Stegostoma tigrinum: one gene and its partner. The protein of the gene in region 1 interacts with the protein of each later gene in a pairwise test. Links are inferred from orthologs where the notes say so. Each region holds a gene or a part of one and is shown on either strand. Other genes may lie near its edges.

Region 1 (7,504 bases):
AACTCCCCCTCTCACTCTGGGTATCATCATAGAATCCCTACAGTGTGGAAACAGGACCTTTGGGCCAACAAGTCCACACTGATCCTCAGAGCATCCCACACAGACCTATCCCACCTACAACCACCATCCCCCCAATCCATCTACACATCCCTGAACATTACGGGCAAGTTAGTATGGCCAAATCACCTCGCCTGCATATCTTTGGACTGTGGGAGGAAACCGGAGCACCCTGAGGAAACCTACACAGACACAGAGAGAATGTGCAAACTTTACACAGTCACCTGAGGCTGGAATCAAACCCGGGTCCCTGGTGCAGTGAGGCTGCAGTGCTAACCACTGAGCCACTGTGCTGCCCAAATGTTAATCCTGGCCTCCTCCAGTGTCACAGTGACGGCACCCGCAAACTGGAGGAGCTGCACCTCATATTCCACCTCAGGAGCCTACTGCCCAATGGCCTAAACATGGATTTCACCAGTTTGAAAATCCCCCACCCTGACCTCATCTCATGACCAACTCTCCCTCTCATCCCATCTCCTTGACCTGACAACCTGCCCATCTCTCCCACCTATTTGCCCTTCCACCTCGCTGACCAATCCCCACCACTCCCTACCTGCACTCACCTATCTCCATCCCACCTACCTTCCCCAGCTCCACCCCTCCTCTCTATTTATTTCTGAGCTCCCTTCCCCCTCCCCATTTCCAAAAGGTCCCAACCCAAAATGATCAACTTTCCTATCCTCTGATGCTGCTTGGCCTATGTTTCCCCAGCTCCAGTTTTATCTCTGACTCCAGCATCTGCAGTTCTCACTATCTCTGAATCTTTCTTTGGACTATTTGTCATAATTTTGCATTTTTCCTTGTGTGTCAAACTTACATTCTTCCTCACAGTTGATTGGCAGCCTCATGAGGATATATTCAGTGGCTGACCACAAATTACAAAAACAAAATTTAAGTCTATCATGACAGGTTTCACTCAGCTATTGACTTGTCCAGTATTAGCATCAATTGGGATTATCACACAGACTAATCATGATAGACCCATAATAATGACAATACCGTCATAAATGTTATACACCTGAACATATTTCAATTTTTCTCATGCTTTATAAGACAATACTCTTTTGAAGTGTGACACTTATTGTTGGGAAAGAAAGCATCAAAACAATGCAGCTCCAAAGGATAAATAACTTGCATTTGAGACTGGTTTGGGACTGCAGAGTAAAGAAAGTGCTTCAGCTCGAACAGCATTCGCTGAAAAGTGCATTCATCAATTTAGACACTTCGTAACAACAATATAAACTAATGCATGAATCAGTTCTGGCTAATCAACTCTACGTTCAACCTAGAGAAACTGTTTGTCCACAGATGACTAAAACTGAATACAATGGCAAAGATCAAGAACAAATTGTGCTGTAACGGTGTCAAACGGAAAAGAACTATCTAGACAAATGCAATCTAAAGATTTAACAACTGGATTATTTTACCACTAATTCAGTTGTTTCCAAACACATGACTGTCATACTACAAGCAAGTAAATTCAGCATTATTCAGCACTAATTTTAGCAATCAATATCTACAAAAGCTATATTGCACTTACCCCCGGCGCAACGTATCATGCACACCATAGGGTCCTGCATTAGAAGCCAGTCCACCAACAGGAACACTGTCCTTCAACTGAGATTTAAGTCCTCTGGAATACTGTAAAAAAACAATATTACAAATGTCAAAAATGTAATAGAGCATATAATCAGAAGAGTGAATTATTATGCGACATAGGCCACTGTTCAGTCTTCAGATGGAGCACTCCTTTATTTATATTTTTATGCACAAGATGCAAGCATTGTTGGCTGGATCAGCATTTCTTACACATTCCAAGTTGCGATGGTAAAGGTGAGCAGCCTTCTTGGACTGCTGGAGTCCATGTGCTGCAGATAGAAGCATTGCTATTAGGAAGAGACTTCCAAGATCTTGACCCAGTGAAGGAATACAATAAAGATCCAAAGCTGCAAATGTATTATGCCTGAATTATAAACAACTGGAATATGGCACCTAACATAGTAAGTGAAGCCTGTAGCACTCCTTACTTGGCACAAAATTCCATCCATTGATGCTTCTACTCTTAGGATGTAACATGCACTAGATCATGAAAGATTCTGACCAGACTGACAATGACTATCTCAACCCATGGAATCCCTACAGTGTGGAAGCAGGCCATTTGACTCATCTAGTCCGACCTGTCCAAACAGCATGCGACCCAGACTCACCTCCCTAAACCATCCCTGTACACCTGCAGTCTCCACAGCTAAACCATTTAACCTGGACATCCCTGGGCGCTATGGGCAGTTTAGCATGGCCAATCAACCTAAACGGCATATCTTTCGCCTCTGGAGAGGAAGCCTACGCAGACGCGAGGAGAATGTGCAAAGTACACAGACAGCAGTCAAAAGTACTTAACGGACTATACAGTACCTCGACAGCATGAAATGTGTTGCACACACGCGAAATACCCCACCCCACGGAACACACGAGGTAAGAGAACAGGTCTGCTGAAGCCAACGGGAAGTGAAACAACACACAATGAAGCGCTACCCGCGACACTTTAATAAACCGCTTTATTAGGGAGAGAGCTCCAGGGGCACCACTAGAGGAGGAGAATGAGGAAGGGTGAAGTGAATGATATCGTCTGATGGGAATTCCCGCCGGCTCGCTGCCGGGAGACTACCTTCTCCCCGGCCTGGCTCTGTGAGAGCAGGCCCAGAGCGGGTGACTCATCAGAATGTAAACCGGCATCAGTCAGCCCCGTGTGCCCCAGTATTACAGCCACAGAGCAGAGCACGGTAAGGTAAAACCATCCCCGGTAAAAAAAAACCTCTCCATATCCCTCTGCCTCTAACGTAGCCCCTCACCATCTCCGCTCAGAGCCCGATTATCACCCTCCGTCTCTGCTCCGCAACAACTTCCGGCCACGTGACCTGATTGGGATGTCGTCACTTCCTGCGGCTGTGTCCAGGTGGGAGGGGAGGAATGAGAGCAATTCTGGTTAAGTTCCTTTGGGTGTATGTCCCATTTCTTCAAGAGTTGTGTAATCTCTGAACTGAACACAAACAAAGAACTGTGGATACTAGATCTGAAATAGAAATTGTTGGTGAAACTCAGTAGCCCTGGCAACATCTGTATGAAGAAAGCAGAATGAATGTTTCGAAGGCTTCATTGACTCTTCATCAATACATCTCAAGATTAGGTAGCATCTTGATTTTTGAGGGAAATTATCTGGAGGTGCACGGCTTTTCCTGTCAAATGCAAATACCAAGCAGCAACACAGTAAGGAGTAAAGGGTCAAATATTTCTCTTCCATCTCTGATCAAAATAAAATGTCAGCCTGGTCAAGAAAGAGAGAACCCAGCGGTTTTGTTCAAACATAGTGACCAATTTAAATTAATGAGTTGTTTTCTATAGCACTGTTAACTTCATTAAAGTTGTATTTAAAGGCACTTCAAAGGAAGTAAACAAGAAAAGTACACTGAATCACAAGAGTGAGAAAATTGGAAAGTAAAAGGTTTTTAAAGGGAGAAGAGATGCAGATGTAGAGAAGTTCAAAGACAGAACCACTCCTGAATATTATGAAAGGCAAAAGATTTATTTGTATTTTCATAACAACAGTTTCTGACCCTTCAGATTTTTGGACAATTGAAACATCTTTTGGAATAGAAAAGTCTTGATCAAAACAGATGGGCCTAACCCAAACTGGAAAGAGGACCAATGTCTTAACAGGAGGTTTGCTCATTCCATTATGGAAGACCTTATACTTACAGAGAGGGGGAATGTTGGAATTCTCAATAACAGTGTAAACAGAAGGATTGATAGGGAAGGTCCTGAATGTGAGGAAAGCACGTCAATTAAGAAAGAAAGACGAGAGAGTCAGAGAATGTGGTAAATCTGAAGAACTAAATTGCATTTAATTCATTGCACGGGGTTTTACAGGTAAAGCTCATGAATTCAGAGTATGTTTTAAGAACGTGTGTTTGGGAAATTACAGCTGTTACAGAAATTGGGCTGAGAGATGGCCAAGACTGGCAACTCAGTTTTCTGAGTATTAGGTGCCATGGGATGGATAGAAAAGGTGGAAAGAAAGGGAGGGAGGGGATGCGGCAGCATTTCTGATGAGGGAATACGTTACTGCTGTAATTAGGAAAAACATTTCTGAAAAATCACCCAGTGAAAATATGTGGGTTCAGATTACAAATAAGAAAGGAAAGAACACTTTAATGGGATTGTACTTTTGACCCCCTACTAGGAAGAGGGAAATGGAGAAACAAATATGTAGGGAGAATTCAGATATATGTAATCATACTATGGTAGTAATAATGGGGATTTTAACTTTCCAAACATTCACTGGGATTACCATAGTGTTAAAAGGTTTGGATGGTGAAGAATTTATCAAAAGTCTTCAAGAAAAAATTCTCTCAATATGTGGATGCTCTTACTAGAGAAGGAGCAAAACTAGACCATTTGGGCAATAAGGCAGGGTAGGTGACTGACGTAAAAGTGGGGGAATACTTTTGAGTTGAGTGATCATTATTCTATTCGTTTCAAAATGTTTATGGAACAGGATAAGTTTCCATAAAAGTTAAAGTTTTAATTGGAATAAAGCAAATTTTAATGGTATGAGACGAGAAATTTCAAAAGTTAATTGGAGTAGACTGTTTGCAGGTTAAAGTCTGTTAGAAATGTACTATAAATGATTTGGATGAGAATGTAGAAGGCATGGTTAGTACGTTTGCGGAAAACACCAAAATCGGTGGCACAGTAGACCGTGAAGAAGGTTTTCCAAGATTACAGAGGGATTGTGATGAAATAGGTCAATGGGCTGAAAAATGGCAGGTGGCGTTCAATCTGGATGAATGTGAGGTATCACATTTTGGTACAACATACAAGGGTAGGACTTATACAATTAATGGTAAAGCCTTGGGTAGTGTTGTAGAACATGGGAACCTAGGGGTGCAGGTATGTAATTCTGTGAATTCTGCCACATAATGACAGGATGGTTAAAAAGGCGTTGGCACGCTTGCCTTCATTGGTCAGTCCTTTGAGTGTAGGAGTTGGGAAGTCAATTTGATATTGTACCTGGCGATTGTGAGGTTTCTTCTGGAATATTGTGTTCAGTTCTAGTTACCCGGTTATGGGAAGGATATTTATCAAGCTGGAGAGGGCTAAGAAGAGATTTGCCAGGATATTCCTGGGTATGGAAGGTTTGAGATGTAAAGAAAGGCTGGTAGGGTTGGGACTTTTTTTCACTGGCGCATAGGAGATTGAAAGGTGACCTGATAAGTGTTTCGAAATTAATGAAAGACGTAAATAGGGTTAGTGGTAGCTGTCTTTTCCCTAGGATGGGCGAATTTCAAGGGTAGAGGTAACATTTTTAAAGTGAGAGGGGAGTTATTTTGTAAAAGACATGAGGCTTTTTTTTTACACAGGGTGGCTTGCACGCCTAATGAATTTCCTAAGGTAGTGGTGGATGTGGGTAAAATTACAACATTTAAAAGACATTTGGGTAAGTACATGAATAGGAAAGGTTTGGAGGGATACATGCCAGAAGCAGGCGAGTGGGACTAGTTTAGTTTGGGACCGTGTTTGGCATGAAATGGTTAGACTGAAGGGCCTGTTTCCATGCTGTATGGCTCTATGACTCTATAAACAGCTAAAGACATCTCTGGACGATACCAGGGGCAAAAAAATCTGATGTGGATTCTATTATATATTGCATTTTATAATAAGCTACTCAAAATAAGCATGAAAACTCTGGACAGATGGTTAAGGACACATAATGGTAAGAAAATGCAAAAGAAAAATATACGTTAATACTGCATTTTATTGGCTGCCAGACAATTTTGTGGCTATTGAAATACATTTTGTTAATGTTGTGGGGAGTGCATCAGCACTGAGAAATGGAAAAATAAAATTTGCTTTCCCCAAACTAGCGCACTTGCAGAAATCTCAAATACAGCAACATCCATGGACTTAACATACCAATCTCAGTGAGTAGAAGCAATCTGATGACACAAAGCATAAATCGAATCTATATTAAAAAGGTGTAAAAATGACAAGAATATTGAAATTAAATTTATTTGACTGTTACAAGTGACAATCTTTTGTAACATTGTGTGTTATGTGGTGCAAACCTGACAACTAGCAGAATGATGATGACTTCGTGATAATGTTCCTGAACGAGTAATCCATTGATAAAGCAGAACTTGAATTTTAAAATCATTCTGTTTTCTAATCTCACTGTGAACTGGCCACTCCCTATCTCTGAAACATTTCTAACATGGGAAATAGATGATGGCCTAGTGATATTCTCACTAGACTGTTAATTCAGACACCCAGATAATGGTTGAATCCCGCCATGGCAGATGATAGAATTTGAATTCAATAAATGACAAAAATTAAGAGTTTAATGATAACCACAAAATTATTGTCAATTGCCAGGGGTAAAAATCCCATTTGATTCATGAATGAAAAGCCAAAATCTTCCAAGATGTCTACACACCTTCAATTCTGACCTCTTTGGCATTCCTGATTTAAGTCGCTCCACCAGTGATTTCCATTCCCATCACTGCCAAGGTGTTATGATCTGAGATTCCACCACCCCACAAATAAAAACTTTTTTTGACCACAAAGACACTCCTTAAAACCTACTTCTTTGGCCAACCTTTTGGTCAGCTGGCTTAATATCTCCTCAGGTGGCTTGGTGTCAGAAGTTGTTTAATTAATTTAAATATCTTTATTAGATTGGTGAATTCTCTGAATACTGTTGAAAATGTCAAGAAAATTACTCAATTTTCTAACTGAAAATATGTAACTATTTTTCCTTAAATTCCTGATAACCAGGAATTTTTGTGTGTCTGGCTATGTACCATTTTGAAGACAATGATTTCCTTCCGATAATGGAGTGACAAATAACACGTCCGTTAGAATCAGACTTTCTGAAGTTCACCAGGAAGCAAAAAAGATAACACTCATTTCCTAAAAAGCATACAGAACCATTTCTTTGAGAATTCAGAAGGGATTACCAATTTTATGTGAGAGGAGGAAGAACAAAGATGAAGTTTCCTTGATTAAAATAAACATTCAAATCCTCTGCTATTATCCTAGGAAAGAGTCTGAAAGGTTTGATGTAGCTCAGCAGTTCCAATTGTGTTTTTAATTCATTCCTGGCAAATCAAACATCCTTAATTGCCCCTTGATCTGAGTGCATTCCAAGGACCATTTCAGATGTCATTTAAAGAGGTGGCCATATTGCTATAGGTCTGGAATTCAAATCGGCCAGACCAGATAAGGATAACATATATCTTTCCCTGAATAGTTGACTAGATTTTTTTTTAATGACAATTGACTGTGGTTACTTAGCTTTCTATTTCAGACTTTTTTTAATTGAACTCAAACTTCACATTTCCCGTGGTGTGATTTGAACTCATGTCTCCAGAGCATTACTTGGGGTTATGGA
Region 2 (8,058 bases), on another chromosome or scaffold:
CTCTGTTATCCCATCCTTGATTGTAGCCTCTAACAATTTCTACGCCACAGATGTTAGTTTAATGCATCTGACAATCCCTGCCTTTCCTCTTCATTCTTCTTAAAAAACAGACTGCTGTGTGCAGTTTTCCAATGCAGGGAACAACTGGAGATTTGTGAAAGACTATACAGCTAGGGTGTCTTCATTGTGCTTCCCTGCTTCCTTTCACCCCCTCAATGAAAACTGTCAGCACTTGGCGATTTGCCACTTTTGAATTGCATTAATTTCTTCATTATTGCTGTTTTACTTACATTATTTTTTTTCAGTCTCCGTTCCTGATCCACTATACATTTCCTTATACTGTCAAACTACCCTTTTCTACTGTAAATACTTAGATAAAGTAATTATTCCAAATGTTAGCCATTTCCCCATGGTCATTGATAATTATCTCCAATTTCAGTTCTTAATGGGTCAACATCACTTCTGACCACCCACCTGCCTTTTATGTAACAATGACATTTCTTCTTTTAGATGTTTCTGGCAAATCTCCTTTCATAATCCCTTTCACCAGCTTTATAAGCTGCTTTATGGCCCTTTGCTGGTTTTTGTATCTTTTTCATTCAGCAGGATCTGTGCTGCTATTTGTATTTTTATGCTATCTCTTATCTGTTTAATTGTCAAAGGCTTTTTTTTTGTGTTTTCAGAAAATTCTGAACAAGGGCCCAGACCCGAAACGTCAGCTTTCCTGCTCCTCTGATGCTGCTTGGCCTGCTGTGTTCATCCACCTCCACACCTTGTTATCATCAAGACAACTCTTGACTTTTCTATGCGATTGACTAATTTCTGTGTTTGTGTGATCTAACACTTCAGAGCTGCTCCCAGGTGGTTCTCTGCACCACATTTGTTAGTTTTAGATACTTTACTGTCCCTCAGTTTTATCCGTGCAATCTCCATTGAAAGCCTTCCCCTCATTATACCCTTCCTCACCATTGAAGTAATTTTGTTTCTAATCAGTAAGGCTATTTCATTCCTTCTGCTATTCTCCTTATCAGTTCTGAAAATCTAGTATCCAAGTGTATTAGTATATTTAGTTCTTAATCCTGATCATCCTGCAGCCATGCCTCAGTAATGGTTACTCTAAAAACTTTTCACTTTCCTTTATTTTTCATTTTGGACTGAAATGGGAAAAATTACTGTTTTAAAAGCCAAGGATAGCTGAAGGAATGTTACTCTTTAAAAGGAGGCAACTTGACACTGACTGTGTGTTCAGGCACTGCAGATAAGATTTGTAGAAGAAGACTGAATGGAGAATTAACCAGCAACAAGTGGCTGATTGGTCTATGTGCTAGTGACTGGTTAACGATGGCAAAGGCTGGCCAACAACAATGCGATTGGTTTCCAGCAATTCGAACAGATTGTGGGCATAAATATTTGAGTCAAATGCCATTGGATCTCCGCAAGAACAGGAGTGTGTAGATTTACAGAATCCCTACAATGCAAAAAGAGACTATTTGGCCTATCCGGTCTGCACCAGTCGCCTAAAGAGTATGCCATTCCACTTGGTTCCAGTAACTGCACATTTCCCATGGCCTATCCACTTAACCTGTATGGTGAGAGGAAACCGGAGCACCGAGAGAAAACCCACACAGAAACAGGGAGAGTGTGCAAACTCCACACAGACAGTAACCTGAGGTTGGAATTGAGCCCAGATCCCTTGTGCTGTGAGGCAGCAGTGCTAACCACTGAGCCACTGTGCCACCAAACAACCTCCCTTCTCTGCAATAAAAATTGCCTCAAGTCTGAAGCAAATCCATTTCTGTTTCCCACAACAGTTACTCTAAGCTGTGGCTGTTGACCTGCAAGTCAGAGTCTCTCTCTAAGTGTGAGCCAGTCACTCTCTACCTTCTACAAATAAATGTGAATACCCAGAGAGGGAGATCAGCAAGTGTTGAGAAGCCATAAGGACCATCTCAGTGACCCCTGTGGACAGGGACTATTGAACTGCTTTCCCAGTCATTCACTCTGCCCTGTGACGCCCTTTTCTTTCTGTATGGGAGAGTTTATTAGGGGGTTACTCATACAGCTGTATGTTGGTGGTTCATAATGTTTATCATAGATTGTGGGGTTATTAGCTTAACATTTGCTGGGTTAGCCAAATGGAAGTTTAATCTAGTTGAATGAACTGAAAAACCTATGGAGCCTGGCAGTGACCTCATGATTCAAAACGTTTCTGTTTTTAAGTGCTTCTATGTTAGGCTGAGATTAAAATATTGTAACTCAGCAGTAATGAAATGAACTATTGCAATAACTCTGGAAAAGGTGAAGATTTTGATCAGAAATAACCACCTGGAGAATTTATCAGTGAAATCGGTGATTGTCCTGGGCCAGGTCATGGAACCCGCAAGCAGGTACAGTTAGCGACCCTGAGAGGGAGTTATTCCAGTCAACATCCGCACGCTCTTAACATCTGCAGCAGGATAGTGACGACTGTCAACCTGAAGTCTGTCATGAGTGATGGTCACCACATGAACTGGACTGACTCTTCCTCCCTCTCACGTACTGCCACCCTATCTCTCTCTCTTTCACACACACACACACATTCCTCTCTCCTGCAGTCCTGGAGCTCTGTTAGACGCTTTCCCAGCCATTGTACTCCAGTCTGCCTGACCCCACTTGCCCCGTATATCTCTGATCGTTTTCTTCAGGGATTTGTGACCGAAACCGGGACCTCACTGAACAAACCGGAACCGACAGAGACAGGGTCAGGAATCAACCTGCAGTTACTCACATCCAGACCAACCGGTACCGCCAGCTGCCCGTCCCTGGCCCAGAGACCAAGCTGCTGCCCTGGGCTGAGAAGCAGGCTGCTCTGTCCGAGAGGGAGATCGCTCCGACTCCAGTCCCGAACGCCGCACACCTCCATCAGCGCCATCTCCACGCCTCACTTCCTCAGCTCCAGCTCCGAAAGTGCAACCGAAAGTAACTGCAGATCCGAAACAGCGCCAGCACCACCCAGAATGGGTCACAACGGATCACACCGGGACGGGGTCTGGGGGAGGGGGTGGGATTGGTGTTGGTAACAGCGGGACAGGGTTCACGGCAGGTCAAGGGGGTGGTCACAGATCACACTGGCACAGAAGATCACAGAACAGGTGGATCACATGCGATCTCACCAGGACAGAGGATCAGACAGGGACAGCGAATCACAGCGGTACAGGACTGGGGTGGTGGTCACAGAGGATCCCACTGGCACGGGAGATAACAGAGACCTCAGTGGGTCAGGACGAATCACAGAGGATCACAGCGATCATGGCAGCCAGTGGTTCACGACAGATTGCATTGGGACAGCAGGTCACACAGGAACAGAGGGATCACAACAGATCACACCAGGACAGGAGGGTCACAGCTGGATGGGGATCACAGAGGATCATATAGGAATAGAGGATCACAGCAGGACTGGGAGCTCAGAATAGATCACAGGGACAGGCGATCACAGCAGATCACTAGTTCACAGCAGATCATATCAGGACATGTCATACTAGGTCACACCAGAGCAGTGACTGAAGCTAGATTACACCAGCACAAAGAGACTAACACTGGAACAACGGGGGACAGAGGGATCACGTCAGGTCATGGCAGGATCATGCTGGAATAGGGGCATCTTTCTGGAAACATGCGGATAGCACAGATCACATTGGATAAGGGATCACACCAGGACAAAGGAATCAAATTGGGATGGGGTGGGGGTGGTGAATGAGGAGGGTCAGATTGGGTTTAGGGGATCCTGTTGGGATTGGGGGAGAGTGAGGGTGTCAGATTGGGATTGGAGGAATAAAGGGGTCTGATTGTGATTGGGGGAATGAAGGGGTCAGATTGGGAATGGGGGAGTGAGGGGTTCACATTTGGGTTGGAGGGAACTAGGGGACAGGATTTGAGGGAATGAAGAGTCAGATTGGGATTCGGAGGGAATGAGGGGGTCAGATTGGGATTGGGGAAATGAGGGGGTGGGATTTGAGGGAATGAGGGGTGAGATTGGGATGGGGAGAATGAGGGATTCAGAATGGGTGTGAGGGGAATTAAGGAGTCAGACTGGGATAGTTGGGGGTGGGTAGAGTGAGAGGGTCATGGAGGTCTGAGAGGGTCTGAATGTGATGATTTTATGATAGTTTTCACTGCCAGTAGCTTTGGCTCCAATTTCCCTCAGCACTGAATATTCGACCTGGAATTCTGGGCACATTCCCCTCGCCCTTCCCAAACAGTCCTGGATTAAACTAATGCAGCCCAATGATCAAAAATCAGGAAAATGATTCCCAAATGTCCTATTGCTTTCAAATAGAAGGAATTGTCTAACATCAAACACTGAGCAGTCTCTGTTTTTAAATAAGAGTGATGCACTAAAACCCAATGAGAAGTCAGTGCTTGTGCTGCATCAGTAATCTCTGGGGAAAGTCTCACCCTGCAGGTTCCTTTCAGTTCAGAATCATGGAGATGTACAGTATGTCCAGCCAGGCACTCAAGGCAGTTTACAAAGATTGCATAAACATCCAGGCACCCAGCTTTGGTAAACAATAGTATGATTGCATAATAAGTTCAAATTTCACAAAAAATAATGTTCATAGTTTTATCATATTGACCTGATTTCCATCAAGTGTATGTTCTTATTGTTCAGTGCATTTCTTACAAATACTCCTGGAGAACGTCAGTTAGAACATTTAAAAAACATTTGGACAGGTGCACAAACATAGCCAATGCAGCACAGGAACAGTTTGTACGGGAATATCTAGGGATATACTCAAGTTTATTAAAATAAGACGTGATTGATTCCAGCCTCATTAATGAAAGGATGTTGTCCCATTAGGTGAACAGCACCAATTAGAACAAGGGGTGTAAATCTTAGTCCATGAACTAGTCAGCCCAACTCATCTAGCAGCTATGAAAACAACAGCTAAAGTTATTTTGTAGGAATTAGTTGTTTCTTTATTATTCACAATATTAAGAAATAGGTTCCAGTTAAAGATTCTTCAGATAGTTATAGGGATAGGTTTCAATGTAAGTACAGATACACGTATAACCAAAATACAATAGAAGCATTAGGGGAAAAACATTTAAACCTTGATGTGAAAGTTAATTAGTCTTGGGAACCACTTTCCTTGTCTCTAAAAATGTGCTTGGCACGTCCTGAGCGAAATAGATTGTTTGCGACTTATAAGTTAAAAGGTGCTAACAGTAGAAGTGGTTATAAATCTTCATGTGTAACTAACTGTAAAATAGAAATTAACACTATGACTCTTAAGGCAGTTAGTTAGAAAACCAACTGTCTTTTTTTATACATATTTGGCTCAGTAGAAAATATGGAAGGAATAACAGAACTTGATAGAAATAGCACATGGATTACAATGAATAACAGAATTCAAGCAGCCCTTAGAGATAAGCAAGCCTGGGACAGGTCTGAAGGATTATAACCAGGAATTTTGGAGTGTGAATTAATAGGTTGCATAGAAAGATTCCAAGGTCTGGCGACTACAATGTCTGTTAACACCATGAAATCATGGAAACACAGGGCTGTTCATAGAAGAGCCCATCATTGACTCAGTGGATCATAGGATTGAATGTATAGAATAAGGGAACGTGTCCATGCTGTATGTGATTATTGTAACACAAAATGTATAAAAATGTCATCTTTCACTGCAAGAATCAGAGTGTGCCATTGATCTCTCTTCCAATCTGAGCCATAGATTAAGGGAAAAATTGGGTTCTCGCATCGAGGCCAGATTCAGGGAAGATCTTTGGCCCTCTCCCAGCATTAACTGTTTGTTGCATGAATAAAGTCTGTCACTGCCTGAATCCTGCCTGCCTGCTGAGTCTTTGTCCCTGGTCTGCGGGGGGGGGGGGGGGGGCGTGGAAATATGCTCCTTTAGTCCCCTTCCCCCAGCACTAGGTATCAGAGTAGCCCACAAACCAACAACCACCCTGCAACAGCTACTGACAAATGTAAAGGATCCTATACCCACAAGCAATAACAATAACATAATTTACAAATACCATGCAAGGACTGTAAGATACCTACATAGGCCAAACTGGAAGAAAATTACAATATGGATACATGGACACCAACTAGCCACCAAGTGACATGACCAATTCTCACTGGTCTCAATACGCACGGATAATGGAGGACACAAATGTGACTGGAACAACACATCCATAATCGCATAATCCACACAGAGACATGCTAGGGAATTCCTGGCATTCCAACTGTAACTCCATCGACAAACATATTGAATTAGACCCTGTGTACAAACCAGTGAAAAACAGAACAAGAAGAAATACCAACCACCCCAACAAACTGAGAAATATAAATAACAAGCAGGACAGAGCATCAATGCTTCACTAGAGGAGGACAGACAATGTTACCTAGCAGGGTGACAAAACTTTTGCAACCAAATACATCAGCTCGGTGAGCATGTCTGCAACCTCATCCACAAATGAGTCACAAGTGTTCTTGAAAACTTTAACCTCGTGATTGTCCCTGAGAGTGCACGATCTAGCCCCAGCTCTCCTCATTCCCCGAATTGGTTTCTCTCTAGGCTGCCCTAAAAAGCTGAGTGTGTCAGGGTGAATGTGCACTGCTCACACTGAGGGGAGGGATGGTGACTGTGTGTGTGATGGTGAGTGTGAGGTGCTGACCCTGTGAGGGAGGTCAGAGGCAGGGGAATGAGGCTCCCACAGCTGCTTGGAGATGAGGAGTGACAGTGCCTGGAGTGGGGCCAGGGGTTGTTTACTGATTGAGAGTTGTGTTACTGTCTGCAAGCTAAACCTGTTTGAATTGGAAACCTGCTTGGGCAAAGGGACAAAATGGGTGCCAGAGAGTAGGGCTTGGCAATGTTGGGAGTCAGTGCAGAGGGCTGCAGAATGCCTGTTTGAAAGACAAGGAGTTGGGGAGGAACACCTTTCAGGTGCAAATTCTGCTGTCCCCTTCAGATTGCAGTGTGGGCTCTTCTGCTGCTTTGGACTTTACTCCTGCCACATTCCCTTTGGCATTACATCAATAATGCTTCACCGCGCAGATCTCTGCCCTCTTTCTCCTTCATGCATGCAAACAATGAGTCTTGGCCAGCAAGTTGACAGCAGTAGCATCACCAGACAAGCCTGATCTTGCGCCCCCGCCCCAAGCACCTCACACCGCTGTCTTACAGTGAGGTAAACTGGACCACAAAACCAGATTCTGGGAGCTGTCCCATCCTGAGATTGGGACACATAGAGTTACAAAGAGATCATCAGAAAGAGGAGGCCACACAGCTCTTCAAGCTTGCCCTATCTTTCTGTAACATCATGCTGATCGTACCCATGTTGTGTAAGAACAACAAGGAGCTGTTTAAACAGGAAGGGGCTCCCACTGAACGTGGATTTGGGGAGGAATTATTTCTCCCAGATGCATATCACAAACAAACTGTGGCTGGGATCATATTTTTAGGCTTTAAATTGTCAGAAACCCTCTGAGAGTGAGGGGCATGGTGGGGTAATCTATGAGAGTTGGGTGTGATCTGTGAGAGTTGGGAGAATGAACTGTGAGTTGGGGGGGTGATCTGTGAGAGTTGGGAAGTGACCTGTGAGAGTTGGGGGTGATCTGTATGAGTTGGGGGGATGATCTGTGTGAGTTGGGGAGGTGATCTATGAGAGTTGGGGGGTGATCTGTGAGATTTGGAGGGAGTGGTCTACGAGTTGGGCGGTGTGGTCTGTGAGTTTGGGGAGGTGATCTGTGAGAGTTGGGAGTTTGATATGTGAGAGTTGGGCAGTGTGGTCTGTGAGAGTTGGAGGCTTGTGTTCTGTAAGGCTTATGGGATGATTTGTGAGAGTTGGGTGTGTGATCTGTGAGAGTTGGGGGGTGATCTGTGCGGGTTGTGGAAAATGATCTATGAGAGTTGGGGTGATGATCTGTATGATTTTGGGGGATGATCTGTGCAAGTTGGGGAGGTGATCTGTGAGAGTTGGGGGGTGATCTGTGAGAGTTGGGGGTGATCTGTGAGAGTTGGGAGGGTGTGATCTGTGAAAGTTGGGGGGTGTGATCTGTGAGAGAGCTGG

What was found. The genes of interacting proteins can lie anywhere in the genome.
Region 2: the proteins of pomp (region 1) and psmb8a interact in a two-hybrid assay, tested with the Homo sapiens proteins (2 studies listed by BioGRID). The link is inferred for Stegostoma tigrinum from reciprocal best matches to the Homo sapiens genes POMP and PSMB8.

The regions. Positions count from the first base shown.
Region 1 is NC_081359.1:79,199,276-79,206,779, reverse strand, and holds the start of pomp (proteasome maturation protein), read right to left. Parts: upstream 3,012-7,504; 5' UTR 2,910-3,011; coding exon 2,907-2,909; intron 1,699-2,906; coding exon 1,598-1,698; intron 1-1,597. UniProt on the Homo sapiens protein: Molecular chaperone essential for the assembly of standard proteasomes and immunoproteasomes. Degraded after completion of proteasome maturation. Mediates the association of 20S preproteasome with the endoplasmic reticulum.
Region 2 is NC_081387.1:1,253,951-1,262,008, forward strand, and holds the start of psmb8a (proteasome subunit beta type-8), read right to left. Parts: upstream 3,041-8,058; 5' UTR 2,912-3,040; coding exon 2,768-2,911; intron 1-2,767. UniProt on the Homo sapiens protein: The proteasome is a multicatalytic proteinase complex which is characterized by its ability to cleave peptides with Arg, Phe, Tyr, Leu, and Glu adjacent to the leaving group at neutral or slightly basic pH.